Linked DNA regions of Caenorhabditis elegans. The protein of the gene in region 1 purifies or fractionates together with the protein of each later gene. This does not show direct contact. Each region holds a gene or a part of one and is shown in the gene's direction. Other genes may lie near its edges.

Evidence for each region.
Region 2: the proteins of mls-1 (region 1) and slc-30A5 fractionate together in Caenorhabditis elegans (co-fractionation; one large-scale study listed by BioGRID). This does not show direct contact.
Region 3: the proteins of mls-1 (region 1) and T05C12.4 fractionate together in Caenorhabditis elegans (co-fractionation; one large-scale study listed by BioGRID). This does not show direct contact.

What each region holds. Positions count from the first base shown.
Region 1 is NC_003281.10:7,455,694-7,464,991, forward strand, and holds mls-1 (T-box transcription factor mls-1), read left to right. Parts: upstream 1-4,647; 5' UTR 4,648-4,714; coding exon 4,715-4,887; intron 4,888-5,264; coding exon 5,265-5,407; intron 5,408-5,680; coding exon 5,681-5,811; intron 5,812-5,859; coding exon 5,860-5,991; intron 5,992-6,040; coding exon 6,041-6,220; 3' UTR 6,221-6,241; downstream 6,242-9,298. Other genes in the region: alh-12 (Aldehyde dehydrogenase domain-containing protein), read left to right, coding at 1-210; Y69F12A.1 (Protein kinase domain-containing protein), read left to right, coding at 1,256-1,468, 1,698-2,042, 2,093-2,293, 2,338-2,496, 2,546-2,665, 2,718-2,828; fipr-19 (FIP (Fungus-Induced Protein) Related), read right to left, coding at 3,122-3,253; fipr-18 (FIP (Fungus-Induced Protein) Related), read left to right, coding at 3,622-3,753; fipr-20 (FIP (Fungus-Induced Protein) Related), read right to left, coding at 6,574-6,702; H14A12.3 (Protein rogdi homolog), read left to right, coding at 8,230-8,296, 8,349-8,572, 8,696-9,115, 9,162-9,298. UniProt on the Caenorhabditis elegans protein: Probable transcription factor required for the cell fate specification of non-striated uterine muscle precursor cells. Furthermore, may function with the transcriptional corepressor unc-37.
Region 2 is NC_003279.8:14,356,817-14,366,887, forward strand, and holds the start of slc-30A5 (Proton-coupled zinc antiporter SLC30A5), read left to right. Parts: upstream 1-1,745; 5' UTR 1,746-1,845; coding exon 1,846-1,907; intron 1,908-1,951; coding exon 1,952-2,074; intron 2,075-2,139; coding exon 2,140-2,465; intron 2,466-3,090; coding exon 3,091-3,284; intron 3,285-4,112; coding exon 4,113-4,431; intron 4,432-6,004; coding exon 6,005-6,390; intron 6,391-7,817; coding exon 7,818-8,321; intron 8,322-9,607; coding exon 9,608-9,841; intron 9,842-10,071. Other genes in the region: Y105E8A.2 (Endoplasmic reticulum lectin 1), read right to left, coding at 1,133-1,492.
Region 3 is NC_003280.10:8,177,018-8,187,640, reverse strand, and holds T05C12.4 (uncharacterized protein), read left to right. Parts: upstream 1-7,259; 5' UTR 7,260-7,272; coding exon 7,273-7,356; intron 7,357-7,688; coding exon 7,689-7,853; intron 7,854-7,896; coding exon 7,897-8,058; intron 8,059-8,112; coding exon 8,113-8,220; intron 8,221-8,347; coding exon 8,348-8,518; intron 8,519-8,566; coding exon 8,567-9,043; intron 9,044-9,219; coding exon 9,220-9,480; intron 9,481-9,526; coding exon 9,527-9,910; intron 9,911-9,982; coding exon 9,983-10,063; 3' UTR 10,064-10,123; downstream 10,124-10,623. Other genes in the region: T05C12.8 (ANK_REP_REGION domain-containing protein), read left to right, coding at 1-28; cct-1 (T-complex protein 1 subunit alpha), read right to left, coding at 255-441, 600-1,256, 1,302-1,607, 1,652-2,075, 2,120-2,195; Segment polarity protein dishevelled homolog mig-5, read left to right, coding at 2,633-2,671, 2,738-2,886, 2,941-3,094, 3,136-3,211, 3,264-3,741, 3,784-3,906, 3,953-4,278, 4,327-4,851 and 1 more; dylt-3 (DYnein Light chain (Tctex type)), read right to left, coding at 5,332-5,771, 5,817-5,823; acr-14 (AcetylCholine Receptor), read left to right, coding at 10,446-10,535.

The sequences.
Region 1 (9,298 bases):
AATCTTGCTCGTGGACACCGTGTCGCTGCTCGCCTTCAAGCTGGAACTGTTTTCATTAATACTTATAATGACACTGAAGTAAATGTTCCATTTGGAGGATTCAAGAATTCAGGACATGGACGTGAAAATTGTATCGATACTCTTCGTGCTCATACTCAGACAAAGGCAATCTATGTGAATGTTCAAGATACTACTGAGCATTGTTTCTAGATTAATGTTTAAAAATAAAAAATAAATTTGCTATATATTGTTTGATGCAATAAAGCTTCTTCAAGAGCATTGTCAACAATTATTTCAGTTGAATTTTTCAAAATAGTCTCATAAGTTCACAATAATGATAAAATTGGTAAAAATTTATTAAAGGTAGTGTAGTCGAATTTTTTTATTGCTTTATTAGATTCAAAATTGTCTGAAAACACCGAATTTCATAATGAAACTTCTTGAAAACTTTTCAGAAAAAAGTTATGACGGCTCAAAAAATGGCCTAAAATCAGTTAAAATCGGAAATTTGACCGTCTTGTCAATGTCGTATCGGCTGGAAACAAGTTTTTTGAAATCACCGTCAAATTTTGAGTATACCAGTTGATTATCTTGCGTTTTAAACGTGATTGAGGTATTTAAAAATCGATGGACGGCGAGTTTTTGTTCAAAAAAATTGAAAAGCGCCCATCGACTTTTAAATACCTTAATCAAGTTTAAAACGCAAGATAATCAACTGGTATACCCAAAATTTGACGGTGATTTCAAAAAAAATTGTTTCCAGCCGCTGCGACTTTGACAAGTCGGTCAAATTTCCGATTTTAACTGATTTCAGGCCATTTTTTGAGCCGTCATAACTTTTTTCTGAAAAGTTTTCAAGAAGTTTTATTATGAAATTCGGTGTTTTCAGACAATTTTGAATCCAATAAAGCAATGAAAAAAATTCGACTACACCACCTTTAAGAATATTTACGTAATCCCCTCAATTATTTTTATTTCTAGCACGTTGGTTTTTTTTTCGTCTCCCGTTGAAACATTGGTTTTACTCGTTTTTCCAATCATTTCATAATTTAGACTCTCCAAATTTGCGGCTTTTGAGTTTGTTCTTTTCGGTAGACAAGTAAGTTCTTTCAAATTTGATAAATACCCAGAACTATACATTCCACGCTGTCGAGGCGTAACGGGGGCGCTTTAACACTCCTCTTCGCTTTCCCCGCCCCAACATAATTTCATGATTTTTTACAACTTGTTAAAAACTAAATTTCAGATTGAAAAAATGGAGAATAGCAGGCTGATGCAGTCAATGCCGAGAACACCAAAATTTGAAGAAGAAAAAAAGACTGACAAAGATAAGGAAAAAGAAGAAAAGGAGAGAAATGGAAAGAAGACTGAATTGGCAAGAGCTCAGAATAAAAAGGCTCAAGAGAAAGATATGCCACGTTTCAAGCAGGGAGAGAATCAGATTGACACGGCCACTGAGACTTATGAGGTGAATGGGGGAAAAAATCTTGAAGTTGAGCCTGAAACCGCCACACAAAACTTTGGTTAATGACTTAGACTATTGATTAGTCTACTATTGGATATTGAAATGCGCGATGCATACGTCGCCTATAAAATCGGTAGTGATGTATCCTCGGTGCTCACTGAGGCATTATTTGTACTTCGCAAATGAACTGTGAACCTGTTCTATTAATCAATATATATATGTTCTTTTCTAGCTCACCTCTGAACTTGGACAAGGATCATTCGGGGCAGTTTTTGGTGTCACTCGTAAATCTGACAAACGCCATTTCGCAATGAAATGCGAGTCGGTCAACATGAAGCGAGCAATTCTTCCCCATGAAGCCGGTGTCCTGCTTGCCTTGAATCATCTTAAATCGCCTCATTTTCTGGAAATGGTAGATCATGGGATTGTCAACAATCGATTTTTGTTCGTGGTTCTGAAATTAGTCGGAATGAATCTTTGGGACATGCGTGCTCATCTTCCCGATAAGAAGTATACATTGACGACGACTCTCAGAATTGCTGAGCAGACTTTGGCTGGTTTGAGAGATTTGCACAGGGTTAGTTGAAACGCACAAAATGTTTTGAAATAAACATTGAAACTTGACAGGTTGGATTCTTGCATCGAGATATCAAACCTCCGAACTTTGCAATCGGAAGAGAGGAAGATGATACCTACCATACAGTCTTTCTCTTGGATTTCGGACTTTGTAGAAAGATTGCCATGAAGGGAAAGGACTTGAGAACTCCAAGAAAGGAATGTGCATTCCGTGGAACTACAAGATATGCAGCGTTAGCAGCTCATGATAATGTAAGCTCGAATTTTTATTTTTCAAAAACATTTCAAAAATTCAGAAAGAACAATCTCGCAAAGATGATATTGAGTCGTGGTGGTACATGATTGCTGAAATGATTGTATTCGACATTCCATGGAAGCAATTTCGTGGAACTGATCGTGATAATGTCCGTGGAATGAAATGGCGACTTCGCGCGGATGAGACCTACTTCAAGTTTGTGAGTTTTATTTTTTCGAAACCTTTAGTTATTACATATCATTTTACAGTTATTCCGCAAATGTTGCTACGAACAAATGAGTGCCATTCTTCTATACCTCGATCAACTATCGTATTCAAGTATTCCCGATTATGATTTTGTTTATCATCATCTTCAAGCTGCAGCCATTGTGAGTTCATTCTAATTTTAAAAACTTAATTTCTGTGATTACATAATTTCAGGTTAACAATTGTTCTGCTAAATCGCCTCCGGATTGGGATCCCAAAAGTCAACATTACAAAGGGCCGATCTACAAGGAAAGAGAACCATATATTGTCAAGTCACTCGAATGAATTTCAATAAAATTTTCTCACTTTTTCTGTGATCTAGACATTTCATCAATGTGCGACTGACAAGAATGCCCATTGGGAGCATAGCATAATTGACATTGTGAACGCACTATGCATACATCGACTTTTAAGAAGTTCTGGGTTTTCCGAAAGAAGTATTTTTCGGATTTCGTCCGGACGATCCTGTGTTCCGTTTTTTTTTCAGAATCTTGGCATTCAAACTACCGTATCTTTAAAAGGACAACACAAAATTGGATGCTCAAAATTGTATTATAACTTGAAAGTTTTAATTTAAATTATTCCTTGGCAGTTCCAATGACAATTCCTCCACGTCCACGGCCACCTCCGCTGTATCGACCACGGCAACGATGTCCAGAAACGGCGGCAATTGAGAGAACGGCGAAAATGAAGATGTTGTAGAAGTTCATACTGAAATATTTGAATTAATTAGAGTTTAGAAAAGAAATGTTTACCTTTTCAGGAGCAGCTTTCAAAACTGAAAGGAAAGTTGATGATTTTCAAAGGTTTCGGTGTCGGTTTTATACCGGAGTTTTGAATGTATTTTGTGCGTAAAAGATCTTTGGATGCAAATTGCAAGTTGCAAAGATTGCAAAGAAACGAAAAGATCAGAAGTTTATAGTTTCGGAGTTTGATTTCTTTTTTGCGGGGTGATCTTTACCTCACTATGGCTACTATAAAAACTTCTCCGCAAACCTGAAAAGTCACGATTCAGTCAACCGAGTCAACGTAAGCAGTCTCACTTTCAAGTCTTCTAAAAAAAACTGAAAACTTCAGTATGAACTTCTACAACATCTTCATTTTCGCCGTTCTCTCAATTGCCGCCGTTTCTGGACATCGTTGCCGTGGTGGATACAGCGGAGGTGGTCGTGGACGTGGAGGAATTGTCATTGGAACTGCCAAGGAATAAATTCAACAGTTGTTGATTTTTTTTAATGATAAATTTGTGAGCATTTTGATTTTGAACAAACTGCAATGGAAAGCTATCTCAAATTGACTGATACATTCAAGGGACATTTTTTCCAAACTTCTTATCAAATTGAACGATATTCAGGAACTTCGTCAATGTTTTTCTGGCCAAATAGAAGTATGCAGAGAGTTTTGAATTTTATTATATAACTCGGGCTAGATGAACATTAAGGAATTCAAATATTTCAGAATTTCGGAACAGTCCAAGATAAATCAAGTAAAGTGAAAAATGTTTCTCAATATGCAATTTTCAAAACTAGGAAATGAAAAAACTCAGGGATTTCTGTGTCTGAAAAGAATTGAGTTTTTAAAATTATATCAGACAATTTCTGAGAATCGATCAAAATTAGCCGGAAACTGTTTTTGTAATCAAACTCTATTCAATTATTTCAAACAGTATTTCAATTTTAAATTTTTTATTATTAGTGAAACTTTCCAGGAATCAAGAAAAAAAATTTTGAATCCCTGATGTACAATTAATCTAAATATAATTTTTTCATAATTTCTACAAATATCACAGAAGTTCTTACATATCTCGCCCTCATCAGACCCACTCCAATCAAATCGAATAAAATGATCGTAAAACACACTCAAATTGCACACGGCTTCTTCATCTTCCTCACATTCACCGCCACGTGTTTGTGGATGACGAGAATGAAATGGCAAATTGACGGATTACGGTAGAAACGAGTGTGGATGACAACGACGACAAACTGCGGGTGCCAGATGTAGGAGGAGGTGGAGGGAAAGTTTTCGAGCTCTGATTGAAAAACACCGAACATATGGAAATCACCAAGTCCGTGTCGACGAGACCTCTCACCATTCAGAAGTATTCACACTCGTCTTCTTTCTCACAGCCACTTCATTTTTAAATATATTTTTTGCTTCTATAACATCCAAAAATGAATCGAAACTTTTCGATCGATGCTATTTTGGCTAGAAAACCAGTTGAAAAGAGAAAGCAAATAATCACTAAGGATAATTGTAAGTTTATTCGAGTTTTCCTACAATCAAGTAATTTATGGCGTCGTTTTCATAATCTTGGCACAGAGATGATTGTTACTAAAAGTGGAAGGTTAGTGGAAAGTATTAAACTTAACTGCGAGATTTTTATCTTTTTATTAGTCACTCTTTAATACTGCCTTGGTATAAGATTCATGGCTACAAATTCAAAGTTCTAAGATTTGTAATTTTTAAATCCAAAATAGCATCCTCACTTGAAGTTTCTCATCTACATTTTCAGTTTTTACCCAAATAGTCTTTCACCACATTTCTCAACGTTGGCCGTTGATAGATCAGAAGTATTTCCTTTACCAGATAATTAAAAAAAGGAGTAGATTAATATTTTCTGAACTGAAAAATAGAATACAAAAAAGTTTAATATAGAACGTTTTTACGGCTGATTTAGTTCAAAATATTGACCAGAAATGTTCTCTACATGACAGTGTTTAGAAGAATGTTTCCTACCTTATCAGTCATCATCGCTGGTCTTGATCCCGTGAAGAGTTATGTAGTTATGGTAGATTTGGAGTGTATTGAAATGAAACGTTTTCGATATTCATTTCATCAAAGCAAATGGATTTCTACCGGTCCAGGTTGGTTGTTTTTGAGTGAAGTTAGTTGGGAAATATTTGATTTTTAACTAGCCAATTGTTTCATTGAAAAGGAACCCTCGTAAAATGTTTGCAAAAAAGTATAAAATTCGTATAACACAATTTTGGTTTTTTTTCCAAAATTTGTATAGTTGAAACATTTTTGACTGTAATTAAACTACTGAACACCGTATAAGTGGTTTTAAACAGTTTCCCCACTGAATTCGCAATTTTAAAAAATTTGAGAACTTTCATATACCAATTGTTAAAATTCAGGGGAAAGTGAACTCCCGAGCAGAATGTTTGTTCACACGGACTCCCCAGCTCGTGGTGCTCATTGGATGCGGGCTCCTGTTAGTTTTGATAAAATGAAGCTAACAAACAATCAGCTGGATAACAATGGACATGTAAGTCACACACAGTTTGTCTAGCACATTTTGGAAATTGTGTTTTAGATAATTGTGAATTCAATGCACAAATATCGTCCAAGAGTTCACATAATTGAACAAGATGATTCACAAAAGCGGCACACTTTTTCTTTTGAAGAGACTGAATTTATTGCAGTTACAGCTTATCAAAATCATCGGGTGATTTTAAATATTGTGTATTTACAGCTTCTAAATATAACATTTTCAGATAACAAGTCTGAAAATCGAATCAAATCCATTTGCAAAAGGTTTTCGAGAGTGTGAAGTTCAGGGAATTGAAATGAATAGTGTTGGTGGAATGACTGGAGGACCAGCATTCCAGTCAGTTTTTCCACTAATTTTTCCATATTTTGCAAATCTAGCTAGCAATATGAATGTAAATAAGTAAATGAATTATACATATACCAAACTCTTTTAAAATTATAAATTATACTAAAAGCCAATCGCCCTGAGAAACTATTTTAATACCCTAGGGCTTTGATAATAGAAACCATTCCTGTTTTTCGCCTCCTTTCTCAATTTTTGGGTGAGTTTACGAAATTCTAATTTTCTAATTTTGATCAAAGAATAAAATAGGAATTGAGGATTTAGGCCCAAACCATGCAGCGTTTTCCTTGAGGCCAAGCAGGTGTTTTGGTTCCTGCATGGAACGCTTAGAATGCCAATTCAACAAGTTAATATAGAAAAGATTTGAAATGCTCACAATTTTATCATTAACACAAGGTCAACAAATCATTCAAATTATTCCTTGGCGGTTCCAATGACAATTCCACGGCCACCTCCTCCGTAGTTGTTTCCACCACGGCAACGATGTCCAGAAACGGCGGCAATTGAGAGAACGGCGAAAATGAAGATGTTGTAGAAGTTCATACTGAAATTTTCAGATTTTTGAGAAGACTTGAAAGTGAGAATGCTTACCTTGACTCGGTTGACTGAATCGTGACTTTTCCGACAAACCGGGATGTTTTATAGTAGTCTCTATGCGTGAAAGATCACCCCGCAAACAGGGAATCAAACTCCGAAGCTATAAAGTTTCTTTGCACAGTTTTGCAAACTCATTGTTTTACTTTTGTGTTGAATCAAAGTATATATCGAAATCGGAACAGGAGAATCTGAAAAATAGAAACAACGTTGTTTCTAGCTAACTGTAAGATTTAATTTTTAAAAGTGTTCGATTTGTGTTCACATCTGTTTTATTAGGCGCGAGACAGGCGTAGGCTACCTGAAAGGCCAGCGCATAGGCGTCTAAATAGAAATCACATTGGAAAGTTCTGAAGGGAATTTACAGTAATCTAAAAGCGCCAATTAAAATTTGGTCTAAGTACACTTACATATAATGATCAAAAATGGCCTATTACCATTAAAAATCACTTCAATTTGTTTTTTTCTGATATTTGAAAACTCTTAATTAAAGTTTTGGCAAAATGCCAAATTTTCCAAAAATGTGGACTTTTTGAAAAATGTAGAGCAATTTGGCACGTTTGAACCTCAAAAGTGTTTGAGTACAAATATTTGAACAGAATTTAAAATGATTTCTTAAAAAATTGATTAAATTGGTCAACTTCCGAAATTATAAGTAGCGAAAATGATTTTTGATTGAAAACTAAATGAATTTCAATTTTTTTTGAAAAGTTTCACTATACTAATTGGTCATTTTAGAATCAAAATGGTGCCATCTAATAATTTTCCATGAAAAAGAATATGAGAGCTTGGTAACCACGTTGTCCAACCAATTAATAAAACCTCAAACTTTTCTTCAACGACCCTATCAATCCTTTAGTTCTCAATATCCCGGCTGCTCCGTGAGCAATTATTTTCCCATCTAACCAGATGTGTTCCTCCTGTATCGAAAATGATTTATTACCATCAATTGAATCGCACGTTCGGAACATTTTGACATGTGTCAACGGGAAGGGTAAATTATTTGAAGAACTTTGGATTGAAAAAAATTAATGAAAAAAATTTTGAAAATAAATATTGTAAACCACAATTTTCATAACTTTTCACTTTATTTTTGAGCTTTTGCTATTCAAGTTCTATTATACAGTAAATGTTTAAACTTTTTTGTTGTACTAGAGGTCTCGCAACGAAAGACTCAGTTCTGACACGCGCCTTTAAGGAAAGAGTACTGTAGCAATTGATCGCTTATGTTTTTTTTCTGCTAATTCTTGCTAGCAATTGCTGGGTTTTTCATTGACTTCAATGAATTTTTTGTTTACAAACCGCGTTTTTACTTTTTTTTTATTCCCAGAGGTCTTGCAATGTTGAAAATCTCACGTTTACCAAACAAAAGCAAACGCGCTCTGTTGCACACTGCCGCCCGGCGACCCGTTTTCGGGTTTTTTTCAGCTTCTCTTGTGGAATTTTATCATTTTTATTGATTTTTTCTGCAATACAATGGAGGTTCAAAGTCTTACAATAACCACGAATTATCCGCCGAAACCCGCATCTCCAAATCCGCAGGGTAAGCATTTTGGGTTTTTAATTAAAAAACTATCAAAGTGCATTTTTAACAGATATCCGTGACACAATTCGCTCTAACAAAACCAACGAAAACCTTTGGATACAGAGAAAAGATGTTGACACGACTTTGCGAAGTGCGCTGGAACATCTGAAAGCCTGCTGCATTGTATTGAATTTATCGGCTAAATGCGATGAACGTTTGAACGTTGCCGTTAGTCATGGAACGACTGAAAAATATCAGCTAATGTCGAGAACTGGTAGCTCTGATAATCTGAAGGTGAGTATTTGATTTCACAACGAAAAATTTCGGAAATTCGTCGGCAGTCTTTAAAAAAAATAATCGCCCTTAATTATTTTCATAAATTTAAACATTTTCGCCTCATCTATAAAACTGTTTCAGGCAGCAGTCACACTTCTGGACGACAATGTTATTCAAGCTGAAGTGACCGTAAAGTATCCTAAAGCTGGTGGTGGATATTATCGAGCAGTCGCACAACCCGACGTCCAATGGAAACTTCAACAACTTCAGGATCTTGGAAATCACATTTCCAGAGTTACAATCACTCTCTGCGATTTACAACATGAAGTTAATTTGTTGAAAGGAGATGGAGAACGAGATGCTTTCACTCTGGCTACCGGAGCACGTATTTTGGAGGAACTCAAGCTCACCATGAATGAAATATCATTGGCTCGAAATTCAATTATGTTACCTAGAAAAAGAAGCCTGTTGGAGTTGTGTTACTTCCCACCGACCCGGAAATTTGTTCCACCTCTTCCTCAAGATCAACTAATCTCCTTCTATATTTCATGTTGCCGCTTGGTATGTTTTAAAATGCAAATTCACAATAATCAATACACATTTTAAGGTTTGTGCATCCTACCAAATGGTTCCGAAGACAGTTCATCCACAAGGCCTCTCAGTGTTCATGGCAGAATCTCAACTTCCACACCTCGACGATGTCATCAAGCATCTGAATACAGTGATGGCAATCTTGCAGAAACT
Region 2 (10,071 bases), on another chromosome or scaffold:
GACGAACATTTAATTTTTGATTGATTTTTGACAAAAATTGAGATTTTCGCAGTAAAATCTGCAAATTTTTACGGTTTTTTCGCAAAAAACGGTGATTTTAAAGTTTCCGTGAGGCTCATAGACTACAAACTACAAATTTCATGGTTGAGGCTAGCCATTTTTGTAGTTTTTAGTCATGTTTTGCAAATTTATCGTTTTTAAAACGAAAAAAACGAGCGATTTTCAGTTAAAAAGCGTCGATGTTAAGTTTTGGGTGAGGCTACAAACTACAAACTACAACTTGCAATTTTACACGTTGAAAACTAGTTAAATTTAGTTGAGGCTAGCCAATTTTGTAGTGTTTGTAGTCTTTTTTTTTTGTTTTTAAATCACGAAAAACGAGCGATTTTCAGTCGAAATAACTGCATTTATGTTTTGGCTGAGGCTCACAGACTACAAACTACAACTATACATAGCCTCAACCAATGTTGAGGCTAGCAAGGAGTGTAGTTTGTAGTGTGAGCCTCAAATTTGTGACGAAAATTAGTTTTTCATTCACTTTTTGATGAAAAAATGAATAAAAGGATTTTTGAAGTAAAATTGGGAATTTTAAATGATTTTCCGCAAAAAACGGGATTTTTTAAGTTTCGTTGAGGCTCACTGACTACAAACTACAAATTTCATGGTTGAGGCTAGCCAATTTTGTAGCTTGTAGTCATTTTTGCAAAATTTTCATTTTTAAATCACGAGAAACGAGCGATTTTCAGTCGAAATAACTGCATTTATGTTTTGGGTGAGCCTCACAGACTACAAACTACAACCTTCATGGTTGAGGCTAGCCAATTTTGTAGTTTGTAGTCTGAGCCTCAGCGTGTTCAGAGAAAAATTATAAAATTTTTTGGATACTTTTTTAAATTGAATTTACACCAGTTGGGGTTTTAAATAAGACAAAAAAAACAATTTTAATTTGTGGGGAGGCTCAGACTACAAACTACAACTTTCGTGAGCCTCAGTGCCTAATAAAATTGTAGTTTGTAGTCTGTGAACCTCAACCAACCTTCGAAAAAAAATTTTTAAGTAAAAAATGCGCAAAATTTCTGATTTTTTTTAGGTTTTCAAAGCATTTTCATCAATTTTTATGATAAAAATTTACCTGATAAGTCCAATAAACATCGATCAAATAGCTGCACATTTTATCCTTATACAGCATAGTTTCCAGCAATTTCCCGGCCGTCGCTCCCGAATATTCCACGTTTTTCTTCACTTCCACATCAATTTGCGGCAATTTACACAAGAATCGCTCGTTGTTTTTCGACATAATTCGCACATAATCATCGGATAGCTCAGTGTTCCCTGTTTCCAGTGTTGGTGGATCTTTTATTGTCACCGAATCACTTGTAAATGACACATAATAGTGAATAGAATCATCGATTTTCTCAGTTTTGTAAAGAGAAAAGAGAAGAAATAATAGCGGGATAGCTTTTGTCGGCCGAAATAAGCCTGTTGAAACCATTTTTTGAAGGTTTATCACCTGAAAAATCGATTTATTAGCATATTTTTGATAATTTCAGTGAAAAAAATTAAACGGAAAACCCCATTTTAATGCTCATTTTCGGTTAAAACACGTGTAATAGTGTAATAGAAAAATAATGTTCAACGCGAATTGTCGTCAAATAGGGTGTATTTGGTGCAGACACCGTGACGGTAAAATGCACACTTTTAATTTTTGGAACCTTTTTCGGAAATTTCCAATTTATTTCAACCTTTTTTGAACATTTTCGGGATGGAAACTGTATAAATTTTTGATTTTTTTCTCCGAAAATCGATAAATTTCGATAAAAACCCTAAAAATCGCCATTATCCACGATGCTAGCCCACGATTTCGTCAAAAAAGACGACAGAAACTTCACTCCAACGCAATCTTCGAGGTTTGTTGATTAAAAAAAATATTAAAAAGTTTTGAAAATTACAGATCAGCGTCATATTTCGTTGTGCTAGTGCTCACCAAAATTCTACGATGTATTGGAGTCTTTTTCGTGGATATTCTCGCGAAAAGCTCGCATATTGTGAATCTTCTGTGGCTTTGTAAAATAATGTACGGTTTTTAAAAATTTTTTTAAAATATTTTACGCAATTATTAATTTATTTAATGATTTTCAGATGTACATGTATCCTATTCCCCCTGCAAAAGCCTCTTTCAGCCGGAAAATCACTGAAAAGAGGCATAATGCCCATGGTTTTGAAGCTTTCCCTGATGAATAGCGTTATCGAAGTATTCTGGTTTTATGGAATCACACTTTGTGGACCATTACGGAGTGTTCTTGTCTTTGAGCTCAGTTCAACTGTGCTTTTATCGGCGGTTGTCTCATTTTTCAAGGGCGGAAATATGTCAACTCCCTCCAAAACACGTGGATTTTTCCTGTTAATTGTCGGATTTGTGGCGCTTTTCCTTATGGATAGAGACGGAACTATTGAGGATCCACATCGTAAGGATTTGGCGCTTGAAATTCGAAGAAATCACTGAAAATCAGTGTGAAAAATTGGTTGAGGCTATGAAGAGTTGTAGTTTGTAGTCTGTAAGCCTCAACCAAACTTTAAAATACCTATTTTCACCAAAAATAGCTTAAAATTTCCGATTTCCCAGCGAAAATGTTCATTTTTTCATCAAAAATAATGCACAAAAAGCTTTAATAATTTCCGAAAAAAAACATTTAAAAAAATAAAAATTGGTTGAGGCTATAAAAAGTTGTAGTTTGTAGTCTGTGAGCCTCAACCAAACTTTAAAACATCAGTTTTTCACTCAAAAATAGCTTAAAATTTCCGATTTTACTGCAAAAAATATCATTTTTTTTTCATCGGAAATTGAGTAAAAGGTTTTTTTTATTAGTTTCCAAAAAAATTTTTTTCATTAAATCAGTGTGAAAAATTGGTTGAGGCTATAAACAGTTGTAGTTTGTAGTCTGTGAGCCTCACCCAAACTTTAAAATACCCATTTTTCTTCAAAAATCGCGATTTTTAGTTAAAAAACCGAGAAATGAACCAATTTTTCGTTCAAAATCGCTATAAAATTTTTACATTTTAATTTTTTTTTTCAAATTTCCAACTTTCCAGACACCACCCACGCCCACCACAGTGGCCTCAACCACCTCTTCTATCATTTAATTGGACTTTTCGGAATGGCTGATCATAAAGGAGGTCTATGTATTCTGCTAATCTCACTGCTTCTCCGTACCGGCTACGAGACGTCTTTCCGGCATTTAGCTGTAGAAGTTGGCGGTGCAAAGAGGCTTCACACACTTGTTACGGTAATAAAAATTATGGATTTTTCGTGAATTTTAACCCGAAAAAGCATAAAAAATTCCGAAAGAATCACACATTTTCTGCTGGATTTTTTTTTCTGTAATAGTTTCTAAGATATTATTCCTTTAAAAATTCATGAACCGAAAAAAACATTTGCTATAAAGTTATAAATTTACGTAAAATTTTAAGTTTTTTCGCGGAATGTGTCTGGAAAAAATTAGGGAAAATTCGACAGTTTTGGTGAAAAACTGAGAAATTCGATTTTTTTTAAAATTTATAGGAAATTCCCTTTTTTTTTTTGGTTAAAAATTGGAAAAATTCGATTTTTGACGTAATAAATTAGGGAAAATCGTTTTTTTTTGAAGTAAAAAATTGAAAGAATTCAAATTTTTAGGTAAAAATAGGGAAATTCGATTTTCGAAGCAGAAAATTTAAAAAAAAAGGAATTTTCTGGTTAAAAATTGGAAAAATTCGATTTTTTTTAGTGAAAAAACTGAGAAATTCGATTTTTTTTTTAATTTATAGGAAATTCCATTTTTGTGGTTAAAAATTCGAAAAATACGAATTTTTCGATCAAAATTTTAGAAAATTCGATTTTCGAAGTAGAAAATTAGGGAAAATTCGAATTTTTGGGGAAAAAATTCGATTTTTTTTAATTTATAGGAAATTCCCTTTTTTTTTGGTTAAAAATTGGAAAAATTCGATTTTTGACGTAATAAATTAGGGAAAATCGTTTTTTTCCGATCAAAATTTTGGAAAATTTGATTTTTGAAGTAAAAAATTGAAAGAATTCAAATTTTTAAATAAAAAATAATGAAAATTTAAATTTTCAGGCTGGAAGTGCTGTCTGCCTAACGCCTGTAGCCGTACTATCATGGGCTCTTTCCTCAAGCTCCGGAGCTTCGATAGGCTATTTCCACTACGCTGCTCTTCTCGTAATCATTGCTGTATTTGTGTTTGTACTCGATTTCTACGCTGAAAGTATATGCTTCCAACACGTTGCTGATCCAGTTATGGCTGCAGCTCGTTGGTCCTCTGTTACCATGTTCTCGTGTGCATTTGGGCTCGCATACCTTTGGTATGGAAGCCAAAATCTCGGAGATCATGCGTTGACTGGCGGTGTTTCGATCACTGTTGTTTGCTTTATTTTGGGTGCGTTTTTCTCGAAATTCTAATCAAAAAAATGCTGAAAAATCCCTGAAATTGGGATTTTTCGCACCAAAATCCGATTTTTTTGAAAAAAATCGACTTTTCTGGCTGAAAAAATTATTTTTTTACCTTAAAAATCGAATTTTCGCAATTTTTTAACATCAAAAACCGGATTTTCGCTTGAGACCCCCCCCCCCCCCCACTACAAACTACAAATCTTGATAGCCTCAACCAAAGAAAATTGGGTGAGGCTTAGAGAGTCGTGTAGTTTGTAGTCTGTGAGCCTGAACTAAGCTCCATAAACCCGTATTTTGTCGAAAATATCTTGAAAATGTTAGGGTTTCTTGTTAGATTTAAGTTTTCCGTTCGAAATTTAGGAAAAACCCATTTTTTTGCGTTAAATACTGGTTGAGGCTCACACTACAAACTACACTATTGGCTAGCCTCAACCAAAAATTGGTTGAGGCTATGAAAAACTGTAGTTTGTAGTCGTCACAGCCTCACCAAAAACTTTGAATTTTGAATTTTTTTTCACTAAAAGTGTAACTTTTGCTTTATTTTGGGTGCGTTTTTCTCGAAATTCTAATTAAAAAATGCTGAAGAAAATCCCGAAAATCTGGATTTTTCGCATCAAAAATCCTTTTTTTTTTTGTGAAATTCAGCATAATTTTAACGAAAAATCGACTTTAAAATAGAGAGATAATGAAAAATGCAAAATTTGCTTCTAAAAGTTTAAATTTTTGAGATTTTTCCAGAAAATAAATTGAAAAAAAATGTATCTAAATTGTTGTCGGGTTTTTTACCGAAAAAAAATCGAATTTCTCAACTTTCTTAGCTAAAAATTTGAAATTGTCCAATTTTTTGATAGAAAATCGAATTTCCCAAATTTTTTACCTAAAAATTTAAATTTTTCGGAATTTTTCACCGAAAAAAAAATAGAATATTTCAAGTTTTTTATCGAAAAAATTGAATTTTCCAACTTTTTTACTTGAAAATTTGAATTTTTCCAATTTTTTTTTACTTCAAAAATCGATTTTTCCCTCATTTTTTTTAAGCAAAAAATCGAATTTCCCAAATTTTTTACCGAAAATAATCAAGTTTTCCTCCTAATTTATTAATTAAAAATTAGAATTTTCCCAAGTTTTTTACTCAAAAAATTGATTTTTCAAAATGTTTATTTTAAAAATTGAATTTCTCGTATTGTTAACCTGAAAAAAAGAATTTTCCAATTTTTTTAATTGAAAAATTCGAATTTTCCCATATTTTTTTACCAAAAAAAAATCGAATTTCCTTCAAGTTTTTTCCCGAAAAAAATTCGAATGTTCACGAATTTTTAACCAAAAAATCAAATGTCCCAAGTTTTTTACTTCAAAAATCGAATTTTCCAAAGTTTTTTATCGAAAAATTCGTATTTTTTCAATTTTTAACCACAAAAAATGGAATTTCCTATAAATTTTTTAAAAAAATTTAAAAAAATCGAATTTTCCCACATTATTTTTCCAAAAAAAAAATCGACTTTTCCAAAATGTTTCCAGTTTTTTACCTGAAAAATTCAAAATTTTCCAAATTTTTGCAGCCTCAATCTCGCTGACACACTCGAATCAGCCAAAACACCGAGGTGGTCATTTCGTTGGAATCTCGAATACAGGACTACCATTATTCACGTATGGAGAAGCTTTCCTGCAGAGAACCTCCAAATCTTTGATGCTTTTTATGAAGGAAACCCTAAATGAAATCCTTATGAACAACGATTCCCGTCGGATATTCTGGTTTCTTTGTGTGAATCTTGGCTTTTGCGGAGTCGAATTTCTCTATGGATTCTGGACGAACAGTTTAGGATTGATTTCTGACGGGTTTCATATGCTATTCGATTGTAGTGCACTTGTCATGGGACTTGTTGCGTCGGTTATGGCACGGTGGCCACCTACGAGACACTTTACATTTGGTTTTGGACGTGTTGAGGTAGAACAATTGGATTTTTCACCGGAAAATTCAGAAAACTCGAATAAAAACTATCAATTTTAGAGCGAAAAGTGAAAAAAGCAGCAAAAAAAATCGAAAACTCGGCTGCAACGGCAATTTTCAGTGCAGAAAAAAGCCTACTATTTTCTCAAAAATGTGGTGAAAAACTACGATTTTTGTGAAAAGCCACAAAAATAGTCCGAAACGGCCAATTTTTGTGCAGACAATTTTTATTTGGTTTTTTTGCGTATTTTCCGGATTTTTATACATTATAGACTCTTTTTTACGGAAAAATGTTACGATAAATGGGAAAAAAAAAACGTCTTTAAAGGTGGTGTAGTCGAATTTTTTTAAAAAATTGCTTTATCAGACTTAAAATTGTCTGAAAACACCGAATTTCATAATGAAACTTCTTGAAAACTTTTCAGAAAAAAGTTATGACGGCTCAAAAAATAGCCTAAAATTAGTTAAAATCGGAAATTTGACCGACTTGTCAATGTCGCAGCCGCTGGAAACTGTTTTTTTTGAAATCACCATCAAATTTTGAGTATACAATGTAATTATCTTGCGTTTTAAACTTGATTAAGGTATTTAAAAGTCGATGGACGGCGAGTTTTGGTTCAAAAAAAATAAAAATCTTGCCGTCCATCGACTTTTAAATACTTTAATCAAGTTTAAAACGCAAGACAATTACATTGTATACTCAAAATTTGATGGTGATTTCAAAAAAAAATTGTTTCCAGCCGCTTGACAAGTCGGTCAAATTTCCGATTTTAACTAATTTTAGGCCATTTTTTGAGGCGTCATAACTTTTTTCTGAAAAGTTTTCAAGAAGTTTCATTATGAAATTCGGTGTTTTCAAACAATTTTGAGTCTGATAAAGCAATAAAAAAAAAATTCGACTACACCACCTTTAAAGACGTTTTTTTTTTCATTTATCGTAACATTTTTCGGTAAAAAAAGAGTCTATAGTGTATAAAAATCCGGAAAATACGCAAAAAACCAAATAAAAATTGTGTTACAGTTATTAATAATGCCCTAGGGGGGGGGGGGGGGGGGGTTCTGCACAAAAATTGGCCGTTTTGGACTATTTTCGTTAGGAAAACATGCATTTTTGCACGTGTTGACCTCATTTTTGTGAAAATAGTGATTTTTTGTAATTGCTTAATGACCGTTTCGACCAACAATTTTTAAAAAAGAATTTTCGCTTTATATAAGCATTTTTCACTTGAAAAAAACAACATACAACATTTTGCACACAAAAATTGGACGTTTTGGACTATTTTTGTTGCTTTTCACAAAAAAATATGCAAAAATGCACACTTTCACTGCAAAAGTGGTGCAAAAGTCACCTACAAATATTAGTGTAAAATACACAATTTCTATCAAATTTTGATAACTAACTATATAATTTTTTTTTGATGCAGATTCTCTCCGGCTTCATCAATGCCCTATTCCTATGTGTTATCGCGTTGTTCATCCTTATTGAAGCACTCGAACGACTCTTCGATCCACCAAACATCAACACTGATCGTCTTTTATTCGTCGCAATTTCCGGACTTATCGTGAATCTATTCGGAATGTATTCTCTCGGAGAACACGGACATTCTCATGGTGGTGGATCGAGTCATGGTCATTCCCATGGTGGAGGTGGTAGTCATGGACACTCTCATGGTGGAGGAGGAAATGCGAATATGCAGGGTGTATTCCTTCATGTTCTTGCCGATACACTTGGTTCTGTATTTGTGATCATTTCGACGTTACTTATTCAATGGTTCGGATGGGTTTGGGTTGATCCGTTGTGTTCGTTGATCTTATCACTTCTGATCATTGGATCAGTGTATCCATTGTTGGTTTCATCGATTAGTACGTTGTTGCAAGATGTTCCGGAGGAAGAGGAGTTCGAGTATCATATTAATGAGATTTTGGAGGTATATCATTGTTTTTTTTTTTGGAAATTGGTACTGTAGGGGTACTATAGGAGTACTGTAGGGTGTTGTAGGATTACTGTAGGGTTGCTGTAACTATAGGGGGGCTGTAGGAATATTTTGTTGGTACTGTAGGGGTACTGTAGGAGGGTTACTGCGTTGGTTGTGTAGGATTACTGTAGGAGTTTTGTAGTGATATTGTTGGAATACATAATTTGTTATGGTTATGTATGGGCTACTGTACGGATACTGTATTGATACTGTAGGGATATCGTAGGAATACTGTAGGAATACTGTAATAGTATTATAGGGGTATCGTAGGAGTACTGTATTAATACTGACGGAGTACTGTAGGAATACTGTATTGGTACTGCCAGAGACTGTGGGAGTACTGTAAGGATATTATTACTTATGGGGATATTTTAGGAATACTGCATTGGTGCTGTAATAGTATTATAGGGGTATCATAAGAATACTGTACTGTTGAAATTAATTCATCGATCCTTGAATTTCGCAAAAATTTTTGTCGCACAGAAAGTGGGGCGGAGCGTAACTTTCGCAATACTGCCGCACGGTGTTTTTGTACGCCTCTTTTCCAATGATTTTCTTGTTGATTTTTTCGAATAAAGTTTCAATTTTACTTGTCTTTTCGTTTTTTCGATTTGGATAACGTTCTCATTCGAAAAAAAAACAAACGAAGAAAGACAAATAAAATTGAAACTTTATTGAAAAAATCAAAATCATTAGAAAAGAGGCGTACAAAAACACCGTGCGGCAGTATTGCGAAAGTTACGCTCCGCCCCACTGTCTGTGTGACAAAAATGTTCGCAAAATTCAAGGATCGATGAATTAATTTCAACAGTAGAGTATTCTTATGATACCCCTATAATACTATTACAGTACCAATACAATATTCCTAAAATATCCCCATAAGTAACAATATCCTTACAGTACTCCAACAGTCTCTGGCATTACTACTGTAGGGGTACTGTAGAAGTAGTGTATTGGTACTATGAAGGTACTGCATTTGTTATCGTTATGTATGTGGTACTGTAGGGGTACTGTAGTTCTAGAAATATTGTTTTTTTTAGTTTCTGCGAGTTCCTAAAAAACATCGTGGAAATTTCTGCAACTTTTTGAAAAAATTCAAGAATTTTCTGAATTTCCTTCAGAACTGTCCGAAAATTTCTGAAACGTTCTAGAAAGCTGTTGGAAATTTTAAGAAACTTTCTGAGCTTCTGAACAAAAAATTTAAATATCTGAAAAAAAACCCCTTAATTTTTGCACAGATCGAGCACGTAGAATCGTATTCAAATGCACACATGTGGCAGCACAAATCGGATATCAACGTGGCAAGTGTACACGTTCAAGTGAAAGAAGAAGCGAATGCACAAATGATTCGACACCGTGTCTCGAATATCCTGAAGAGCACTGGAGCCACCCACTCAACTGTACAAGTTGAGAAAAAGACATTTGCACACAGGATACAACAAGTGTGTCCTGGATATAAAGCTGGTTATACGGTACGGGATGCTTTGTTGCTTAGAGGACAAAATATCTTTAAAAATGACAATTTTTCAAAAAAAAAGTTGTTTTTTTTCAGGAAATGTTTTATTTGATTAAATTTAATAATATTTCTAAAAACTACAAATTTCTGATTTTTTTGTTGAATTTTTTCATTCGAAAAAAAATAATTTGGAGCATTTTTTGCCATTTTTATATTTTCGATAGTAATAATATATAAAGTATTAAA
Region 3 (10,623 bases), on another chromosome or scaffold:
TTTCACATCACTGGGCGGCGATGAGTAATACAACTAAATGTGGCAAAGCTTCTTCATTGTTTGAATAATGAAAAACGAATACAAACAACTTTGAAATCAAAACATTAAAACTTACAACATTTCGTTCAATAAAGTATCATCAAAAGAAGAAAACAAAAGCTGAACATGAGAATTTGGGATAAGGAGCAGCAGATCGGAATTATGTGAGAAGCACGCGGAAAACAGGGATATATAAACGGGGTAAACGGGAAAATTTAAGCGTGGCAATCATCTCCTCCAAGTGGCTCTTGCTTGTCAAGTTTGATGAGGTCATCAATACGCAATATCGTAATGGCTGCCTCAGTGGCGAACTTCAGAGACTTGACCTTACTAAGAGCTGGCTCCAAAATTCCAGCCTCCTTGTTATCGCGGATCGTGCCTTCTTCGAGATCCAAACCAGCCCTAAAAAAAGAGTGAATAAACTGACTCAAATTCAGAAAACATGAATTAGACGCTTTTTCTAAGCACAAAACGAAATTTTTTGAAATAAATTATTTTAATTTTATTACATTAAGCTAACATGTAATAACCTACTCTTTAAAAAAAACATTTTCACTTACCACTTGAGGTGTTGAAGTTGTGGGATCAATTGAGCTTTGGAGTGGTACGCGCGGAGTTTTGTCACTAAATCAGTAGAATCTCTTGCAGCATTGCTTGCCAAAACCTTCGGAATGATGAGAAGCGCTGAAGCGAATTCAGCAACAGCAAGCTGCTCGCGAGAAGACAAGGTTTGTGCATAAGTTTCAAGGAAAAGACTGAGAGAAGTCTCAACAGCACCTCCTCCAGCCACAAGTTTCTTGCTTTCCAGAACTCTACGAACAACACAGAGTGAGTCGTGAACCGATCTCTCCATTTCATCGAGCATCACATCGTTCGCTCCACGGAGGATAATGCTGCTGGCAGTACGAGATTTCGGTCCCTTGATGAGAATGAGCTCGTCGTCACTAATTCTTTCTTGAACAATTTCATCGGCATGTCCAAGAAGCGAGGCATCGAAAGCTTCATCTCCTTCCAAAGTAGCCAAGGAAACAGTCAATGTGGCTCCAGTAGCTTTGGCAATTCTCTTCAAGTCTGATTTCTTGCATCGACGAACAGCCATAGCTCCAGATTCGACAAATTGCTTCAAGCACAAATCATCGATACCTCCAGTTGTAAGAACAACGTTGGCTCCGGCTTTCAAAATTTTATCAATGCGGCGTTTGGTAATATCGAATTCTCTGAAAATTCCATAGCTTAAAAAGAAACGAATAGTTTCAACTCACTCTCTGCGAATAGCCTCAAGCTTGGCTGGATCTTCAACAACGACTGAAATACCGAGGTGCATCTTAGCCTTCATCAAAGAGAAATCGAGACATGCGATCTTGGCATTTTGAACACGAAGTGGCATGGCCTGACTGGCAACTGTGCAATTGAGTGCATATCCTTTCACCAAAACTGATTCGCGAGCGCTCTTTCCGTGGGCCTTCAGAACATTGACTGCATTGATAGGATAAGTGACTTTCCCGTTATTTTCCACACGAACAGCTTCCGCGGCATCAACAACCAGCTCTCCGAAGAAATCGGCGTCTCTGAAAAATCAATTTTCTTGAAGCATAGACAACACCAAACTCACGGTCCGATAATCTTACTGCTCATGGAAGTTTTGGCAGCGTTGACAACTGATTGTCTACCAATCGAGTCGGAAGTGAATGAGATGTTTTCACTAATGTACTTGACGGCTTCCTTGCACGCGAGACGGTAACCATTGATAATAGTCGTCGGATGAACTTTTTGTTTCACAAGCTCATCGGCTCTCTTCAAGAGCTCAGCCGCCACAATAACGACAGAAGTAGTTCCATCTCCGACCTCCTCGTCTTGCAGCTGTGCAAGTTCTACAAGCACTTTTCCAGCCGGATGCTCAACCTCGAGTTGTTTCAGAATTGTGGCTCCGTCATTTGTGACAATGACATCTCCAACATCATCGACAAGCATTTTATCAAGTCCGACAGGGCCAAGAGATGACTTCACAATATTGGCGATCGCAACTGCCGCGGTGACTGCAATTAATTAATGTATACTTATATTGAGCTTTCGGTGTTACCATTCTGAGATCTGATGCCTTGTCCAGTAGTTCTTTTACCGGTGAGGGCAAGAATGGAATCTCCAGCTGATGCCATTACCTGAAACACAACCGTATTAACTTAGCAATAGAGTAGGACATTCGATATTGAGTCAAAAAGGGGCTTTGAATAAGCACTCAAAAATAAAAATATACGTAAAAATGAAAATATTTCAGTAAAAATAAAAATGCTTCCAGAAAATCGGGGATCCCTTGAATTCTGAATCAAAATTAAAATTCTTGTAGAATATTCTCAGAGCGCATCGTACTTCATGCATGCTAGAAGGGTAATCGTGCCGAGACCCAACACCAGCTGTCACTAGGGCGTATTTGCAACATTGTTCCCACCCGCGATTTATTGCCGATAAATTAAAAATAAAATTGTTTCCGCTAGTCCTTTGCAAACAAATTTGTTTTTTTTGTTTCCTCTTGTAATTTTTATAAATATTTTATTGGTCTATAATTTAAAATATTGAATTCAGATTTCTAACATTTATGGAGCCGCCATGCACATCAGACTGCAGCCAGATAAAAGTAAGAATTTTGATCAGAATTGTTTTTTATTAAGCCAGTGATTAAACAGAAATAATTTTCTTCCAGGTCTTCTACTATCTCGACGATGAAACGACTCCCTATGTTTCTGTTATTGAAGCCAGAGAAGGAGTAGCGACGCTTGGAAATTTCAAAAATTCATTCACCAAGCGTGGATATAAGTATTATGCGAAGGAACTTGACCCGGATATTCAACGGTGAGTTTTGGCTTTTTTAATTTTTGTAATTATTCTGTACTGAAAAATGTTCAGAGAAGTTAAAGTCGAATTAACAACTGATTCGGATCGGCTGCGCAAATCCCAGAATGGATTTTATGAGATTTTTCTCGTTAGCACTCCAGGATATGGAACTCTTCCTCGAAACAGTGGAACAATGACGCGACCACAGAGAACTGCTCTAGATAAGGTTCGATTTCTGTTATTTTCAAAAAAAACTGATATTTTAAGCGCCGCCGACGAAGTGCAGACTTTGACGCGACTCCGTACTCTGATGCTAGTCTTGCTCCGAGCACCATTGTTAGCAGTGAGTTTTTGCTATTTATGTACTCTTAAAAACCTGTATGAACGTTTTTCAGGAAGAGCAGGAGAGCATCTGGCAGAATTATACACTTCAAATTCAGAGGATCCGTATCAATATGACGAGCATACACGTCGAACAGGAGATGATTCTTCGCTCTACGAACCTCTCGCTGCTCGTGATATGAATAAGATATACGATGACGATAGAAGAAGGAAAAAACAAAAGAAAGAAAGATTCAGAAGACCGTATGTTCCAAGTACTATTAGCTCAGCGACGGAATCAAGTGTTAACAGCGGCCTCCCTCGAATTCTGGAAATTTATCTACCAATGAAAAATGTTCCATATCTGGGACTGAGCGTGTGCACAATTGATGGTCATATATTCGTTTCCGAAATTGCACCAGAAGGTGCCGTTGAAAAAGATGGACGTGTGAACGTTGGTGATCAGATTCTTCAAGTTAATAGAGTATCCTTTGAAGAACTCAGTGGGCCTCAAGCAGTTCGTTCGCTCAGAGAAGCTGCATCCTCCAAAAGGTATTTTTCTACGCATTAGCATTAATTTTTTTTAATTTTTAGACCAATTACTCTTTATATCAGTAAGTTTGCAAGAGGTGCCCCAAGTGAATATGATGATCCACTCGCGTCCATGGCGTCTGAAACGATGCCCCTCGACGTTGGAGTTTGGGTAGAAACCGCTGTGTAAGGGTACCTCGCAAGATTTATTTTCTTAATTTGATACTTACAGGCAGAACACTGAAAAAATGAAAGCTCTGGGTTTGGATCCACAGGAGCAAACGGCAACTACAATTGATGACGGAACTCTTCCATTTACATCGACAGCTTCTGATGATGAGGAGCGAATGCTTTACGATCAACGTAGAAATGGAATTCCAAGAGCTTTGATTGAAGAAGCAGAAAGAAAACGAGAAAATGAGCAAAATGAAAAAATAGAGCAACTCACAGAAATGATTGATCCCATTATTGTTGTTCGTTCTATGGCTCGTCCGGATTCAGGATTAGCTGTCAAAAATCGAAAATGGCTGAAAATTTTGGTTCCAATGTCTTTTATTGGTGAGTACTGAACATTCAAGTATTAGGATCCAAACAATCAACGTTTAGGCCGAGATCTAGTCGATTGGCTCGTTGATCACATGGCTGATATTCATAATCGGAAGAAAGCTAGAATCTATGCTGCGAGATTGTTAGCTGCTGGTCTTATCAGACATGTCGTCAGCAAGTTGACATTCACAGAAAAGTGCTACTATGTATTCGGTGATGGAATTCTTGGCAATGATCGTAATTCCACGGACACCACTGGTACGAGTGGAACTACAATGCGAGTTGAAGCAACTACTGAAGTGACGTATGTTGGCTCACCAGCACCACATGCTCTGGCAGCACGAGTTGGAAGAAATATTCCTCATCGATTAGAAACCACTACTCTAAGCCCAGTTGCTCATGACCAAACATGGCTTCGAAGACGTCGAGATTGTGAGAGTCCTATGACAAATGATTACGCATCGATGGTCGGAGAAAGCCAAATTGGAATGAATCCAGTCGGAAATTATCATGTTTTTGGGACGAAAAATAATCACCGTCAGGTACCGGCACCTTCTCAAGTGACATCCTCAAGCTTGACAAACGGTGAGAAAATTAATCGTTTCTATAGGGTGCAGGAGTTAAATTTGAAGCAAATATTCATTTCAATTGATATAGTATTTGCTGTTTCTTGACTACTGTACCCTTTGTATCCAAATGACTTTTCACATAACAGTATTTCCCCAACCAAATTAGTTACAAATTCCAGGAAGTGGTGGCTTAGGAGGCCCTCCGCCGACTCCTCTATCCAGTACTATGGTTCTAGCAGCTTCTCCGATTCAGTCGCAGAACGCAGTCAACCACGATTTCGACGGGGAGAACAGTAGCAACAGCAGAACGCGTATTTTACGGACTTAAAATTTAAAACTCATTGCCTTTACCGATTCTCGCCTTAATTCCCACATGCTTTATTAATATTTAAAACTATGCCCTGTTTTCATGTATTTCAGTAAGACTAACGTTTTCATTCATTCATGTAATTTTGAGTCTATTTATGAATTATTTTAAATTTCTTCATGACGATGTTCACTTCGAAAAACGATGTGTGATGAAGAAGACTTGGACAGCACCGAAGATAGTTTTAGACATCCATTCCGAGTAGTATGCAGTATCCTTCGTAGTATCCCAGGAGCACATGTTGGCCGTGCAAATTGCAAGATTATCGGTTTTTGCAGAAATAGTACAATGAACCAAAAACTTTTTGCTTCCATTGAGCTTCACTAAATTATCCGAAATTGTTTGGATCATCTTGCTCATCCAATCAGACATTTTGAATGGAGAATATGGAGTTTTACCAATTATTGAATCAAATGATTTTTGAATAATTAAATCAATTTCTTGTTCTTCGGCATTTGAATAGACTTTCTTTTTGAGTTTCTTATTTTTCTTTTCAATCAATTGTCTCAAAAGCTGAGCGTTTTTTGATTCAATTTGCCGCTTTGCTACAGAAGAAGTTGTAGAAGTGTCTAAAATTTCAAATGATGTTGCATAATGTGACAAAGAAAACTAACCTGTCATTTTGAAACAAGGAATGAATGAAATAATTAAAGTTATGCGATAAACATTTGTTTTCTAAATTTGATATATATATTAGAATCTGGTATAAATTTTTTTAACAGTGCGTGTAATTAGAACACGCTCTGAAGGCGAAGTGTTTAGTGCCAATTCAAAATATTACTTACAATTAGACCCGAAAATTTTGCGCTTTTTGTGCCAAAAACACGGTACCTGGTCTCGACACGAAACATTGTTTTTAAATGCAAAAAGGTGTGGGCACAGCATCTCCGACCGGGAGCGAAAAAATTAATTTTATTATAAAATGTGTTGTTAAGTTTTTGTTTTGTTTCCGCGGCTCTGTACCAGATTTTACACTAAAAGTGCACCAGTTTGGAGCACCGGACACACAGAAATTGTGTAATGTTGATGGCGTTCCGTATCCGAAATTGACATGTTTGCAGGGGTCGGTTGAGCTAACAAAGGTGGGTGGTGGAAGACGGAAATACGGTTCGAAGGAATAGTGGGGGGAAAGCTGACTGATTAGCTTGCCATCAGTGATTTACGGAAAATGTTCTGCTTCCTACTATGATTTCCTCATAATTTGAAATTTCATTAACTCTTAAATGTTTACTTAAATGTGATGCGAATTACTCAGAAAATGCACAGTTTTGGAAATGTAGCAAGTGACCAAAACATTTACTGAAAAAAACCTTCACCTTTGAAGTTCCTCTAATATCCAAAAAGTCATCATCAGTCCAATAGACAAAAAGTATTTCCGGTCCGTCATGGCAAGTTTGCCTTTCTCATCACAAACACTTTCTCTCATCCTTTAATTGTTTGTAGATGAGCCGGTCATTAACACTTATCCCTCTTATATCTATCATTCAATAAATCTTTTTGTAATATGCGCACCTCAATAATGTCTACAGACTCTTGATCAAGGTTTGTGGAACGTTTCTTTCTGTTTCCATTCAAACTATTTAATTAGATTTCCTGTAAATTCTGGAATGGAAAAATTTAACTTCATATTCAATTATAACAATGAAAATTAATTTAAAATGGCTTTGTGCAACTTCTTGAAAACAAATTGGAAAACATAGTTATTTTATAGTGAATGCTTTATGTATGCACCTTTATTATATTTCTTTTATTAGTCTTGTATCCTGTTTGCTCTACTTTGACAGCTCTCATGCCGGTTATCTTTGATTTTGTCAAAAGATATTTAACAGCAAAAAGGTATCACATATTTTTCTATATTTTCATAGTCAATTTTTGATATATCGAAAGACAATCGAGATATGAGCTTTCAAAGTAGAGCAGTGAGTTATAGGAAAAATACGGATCTTTTCATAAACTGATCGGATCTGAATTTCCCATACGGAAGCGTCTCTAATCTTGACTCTATTTGACACACAATCATTCAACAGATTTCTTTATTTAATTTTCAGAAATTTCAGATAATATGTCCTAATGGCCTCATATATTCTAAACGCACTTACACTTCGTCACGACCATGACGCAGCTGAACGAACATTGCACCATTTTTGGGATACGGTACGTGAAGGAAAAGTTCCGGTCTCTTTTCGTGAATGAAAAGATTATTTCCACATGATTGGAAGGGTCATTCCCGTTACATTCGTTTTTGAACGGAAAATGAAATTCAAAAAAAAACAGCTGAAGATGACCTAGTCTCGCAAATTTCACCTTTGCATGATAGGATCTAACGAGTGTTGGGCATTTTATTATTGTTATTAATATTATAGACTTACTTTTATTATAAAGTTTTTATAGTAATGAATGACTTTATATTCGATTTAGGTGATGTAAGTTTTTAATGATTAAATTAAAAATTTAGAGTTTATCTAAATTCAGTTTACATACTTCAGAAAGATCTTCTGGATTCCGGGTTAATTGAAGAACATATTGCAAGTCAACCCCTTTTGGCTGCAAGTTTATTTTCTTTAATTTCTTGCTCATTTGGTCTTGTTATCTTTACAATCGTATTCCTCACATGTAGGTTTCGAGGGCGATGTGGATCACAAAAATATCAAGTAAGGTTTCGAGGATCCCTTCTTTTAATATTAATATTTCTAGGAATATCCTTCAAATTCCAACACTTATGCAATATATCTTATGTTATTTTTCATTTCCTGGCTCATCGTCACATCAGCTTCTGCTTATTTTGTTCTCGCTGGAATTGGATTTTGGAGTGAAAAATTGGATGCAAAGAAACCATTTGCTAATGCGTCTCTTGTGGTTTTTTAGACATTTACTCATTTCAAAGTGAAACGTTTATATCCTAATTTTCAGAGATTTTCGAGAAGCACTATCAGTGATCTATTTGCTAATTATGATTATCATGGAGATTTTGAAAACGTTTCTGAGCTGCCCAAAAGTGGGCTGAAGAGAATTCATATTGTGAGTTAGATCCAAATAAAATATTTTTAAATAACAAAACTTCCAACTAAAAAACTATGTTATCAAAAATAACTTTCTTGAAATCTACAAAATCTTTATTCAAAATGTTCATTTTTATTTCTTTCAGAGTAGAAAACCACTTCAAACTTTTCGAAAAAGAATTGAAATTCCCATTCGACCACTGGCCGAAGTTACATTTTCTGGAACATCTGATAAGTTTATTACAAAGAATCGACCAATTATTGATTCAAATTTGAATAAAGTATCAGATGAAAAAGAAGAAGTCGATGACATTATTGTAAGAGATGTTTCTTAAAATGTATGACTTTTCCAGTTTTAATTTCAGAATTTGAGTGGGGACCAAGAGGAAGTTTCAATTCAAAATATGCATCAGCCTACGAAAAAAATTTTAGTGAATCATAAGGATCAACTTTCTGAAATTCCAAGAATTCCTCAAGTTTTTCAAACATCAGATAATTCTGAAAACCTAGATGGTATAGAAGATTCAACAGAAGAACCAGAAAATTCTACAGACAATGAAGAAGCTGAGAATCAATCGAATATTCTTGTGGTGAATGGAGAAACAATGACGATTGAGGAAGAATCTGATTTGATTGATGACGTGGAAAGCGAGGAAACGACATCCACAACTACACCAAGAACAACTACTACTACTACTACTACTACCACAATCACAACCACAACGTCAGCTCCTACAACGATTGCAACTTCTACGCCTATATCCACAACATCAAAAGCCACTACATCCTCAACTCAGTTGTTCCAAGAAGTAACCTGGAAACAAATTGAGGAAACTGATTCCGTGAGTTTTCAATTTTAAAAATGTTATCAAGCATGGCATATCCTCTCAATTGGATCCTTCATAAGTTATCTGTTCTCGTTTCTCATAAGCACGAGATTAAAATAAATTTTCATATAAGCAAATTTACTTGGCTAATTTTTTTAAAACTAATCATTAGCAGTATTTGAAATTTCCAGAACAATGTTCTAGACCAACTTCTCACTCACGCTGAAAACAATGCTGAAATTCCATCTGACAACAGTCTGTCTTACAATCCAAATTTGACGTACTTCAGTCTTCATTCAAGATTGCTCGTTTTCATCTGCAGATTGGCGTTCTGTTTTGTTGCTTTGGCTCTTCTTTTTGTGATATTACCCACATTTTTTCTTGTTGTCGCTGGCACTGGATGTTACATTTATAGTGATCATCCTATGAATCGAAGTAGCGTTTCGAATAAGGTTGACTATAGGTTATTTATGATTGAAAACTAAATTGAAATTTCAGATTGGCAAAGTAGTCTCCGTAAATGCTGCAATCTTGTTATTAATGTCACCATGTATGCTGGTATTTTCATGTTTTACTCTATTCTACACTCACTGTCACGAACTGTTATGTGCTACAATTCAACTTCAAAATCAACAAGCAAGAGGATTAGTCGATACAAATCATCAGAGTCTTATTGAAAATTATTCAATCAATACAAATCAATGTTCTCGATCATTGGCTCCTGTTCAATCTCTGCTCCTTTCATCACTTCTATTATGTATTTCATTGCTTCCATGTGTTTTTGCAATGTTCAAACTTGTGAAGTACTATTTTCGAATGAGTAGTGAATTTTATTGGAATGCTGCTGATAATTTCGCTGGGAGACAATTTTCAAAACAACAGGTAAATTGTCCGTAGAGATGCAAGACTAATAGAGTAGAGTAACTACGGTAACTAACATTTCAATATTTTCAGGAATTCCCCCGTTATCAAAGTACAGTAATCTATCCAGATGATGAAGTTACAACTGGCTATGCAGTTTATGGACAGATTTAAATTTTTTTTTCGTTTTAAATGGAGACTACGGGTTCCCAAATGTATTTTTAATTAAATGGTTTATCGAGTTGTAATAAATTTTTACTGAATTATATAAAGCTAGAAATGTTTCTAAATGAAGTTTCTCGGCAGATCACATCCTGAAATATCACTGCTCGGAAGCTCTGAAATCAGTCCTATTTGTATACAGGTTGATGTTCATAAAATATTTGAAAGTTTTTTTCAGGAAAAGAAAACACATCGTAAGTATCTATTTGTCAAGTGAGTGCTTTCTCTCTTTTCTTTGTGTGGTCCCATGGGGGATCAGTCACTAATCCTCCATTTCAATCGTCCATGTGTTCACCCTTTTCCTCTTTACTTTTCAAATAGGAGGTCATCATCAATGTCTTTTGTTTTCTTTATTTTATTAACTTTTTATATTCAAGTGAAAGGAAGTGTAGACGAATATCGACTTTTACAATATTTGAAAGAGGTATGGAACATTGTATTGCTCGTGCAAAAATTATAAGGTTTTAAATGTATAAGTTTGGAGACTTTGCTTTAATTTTTTCAAATAACTG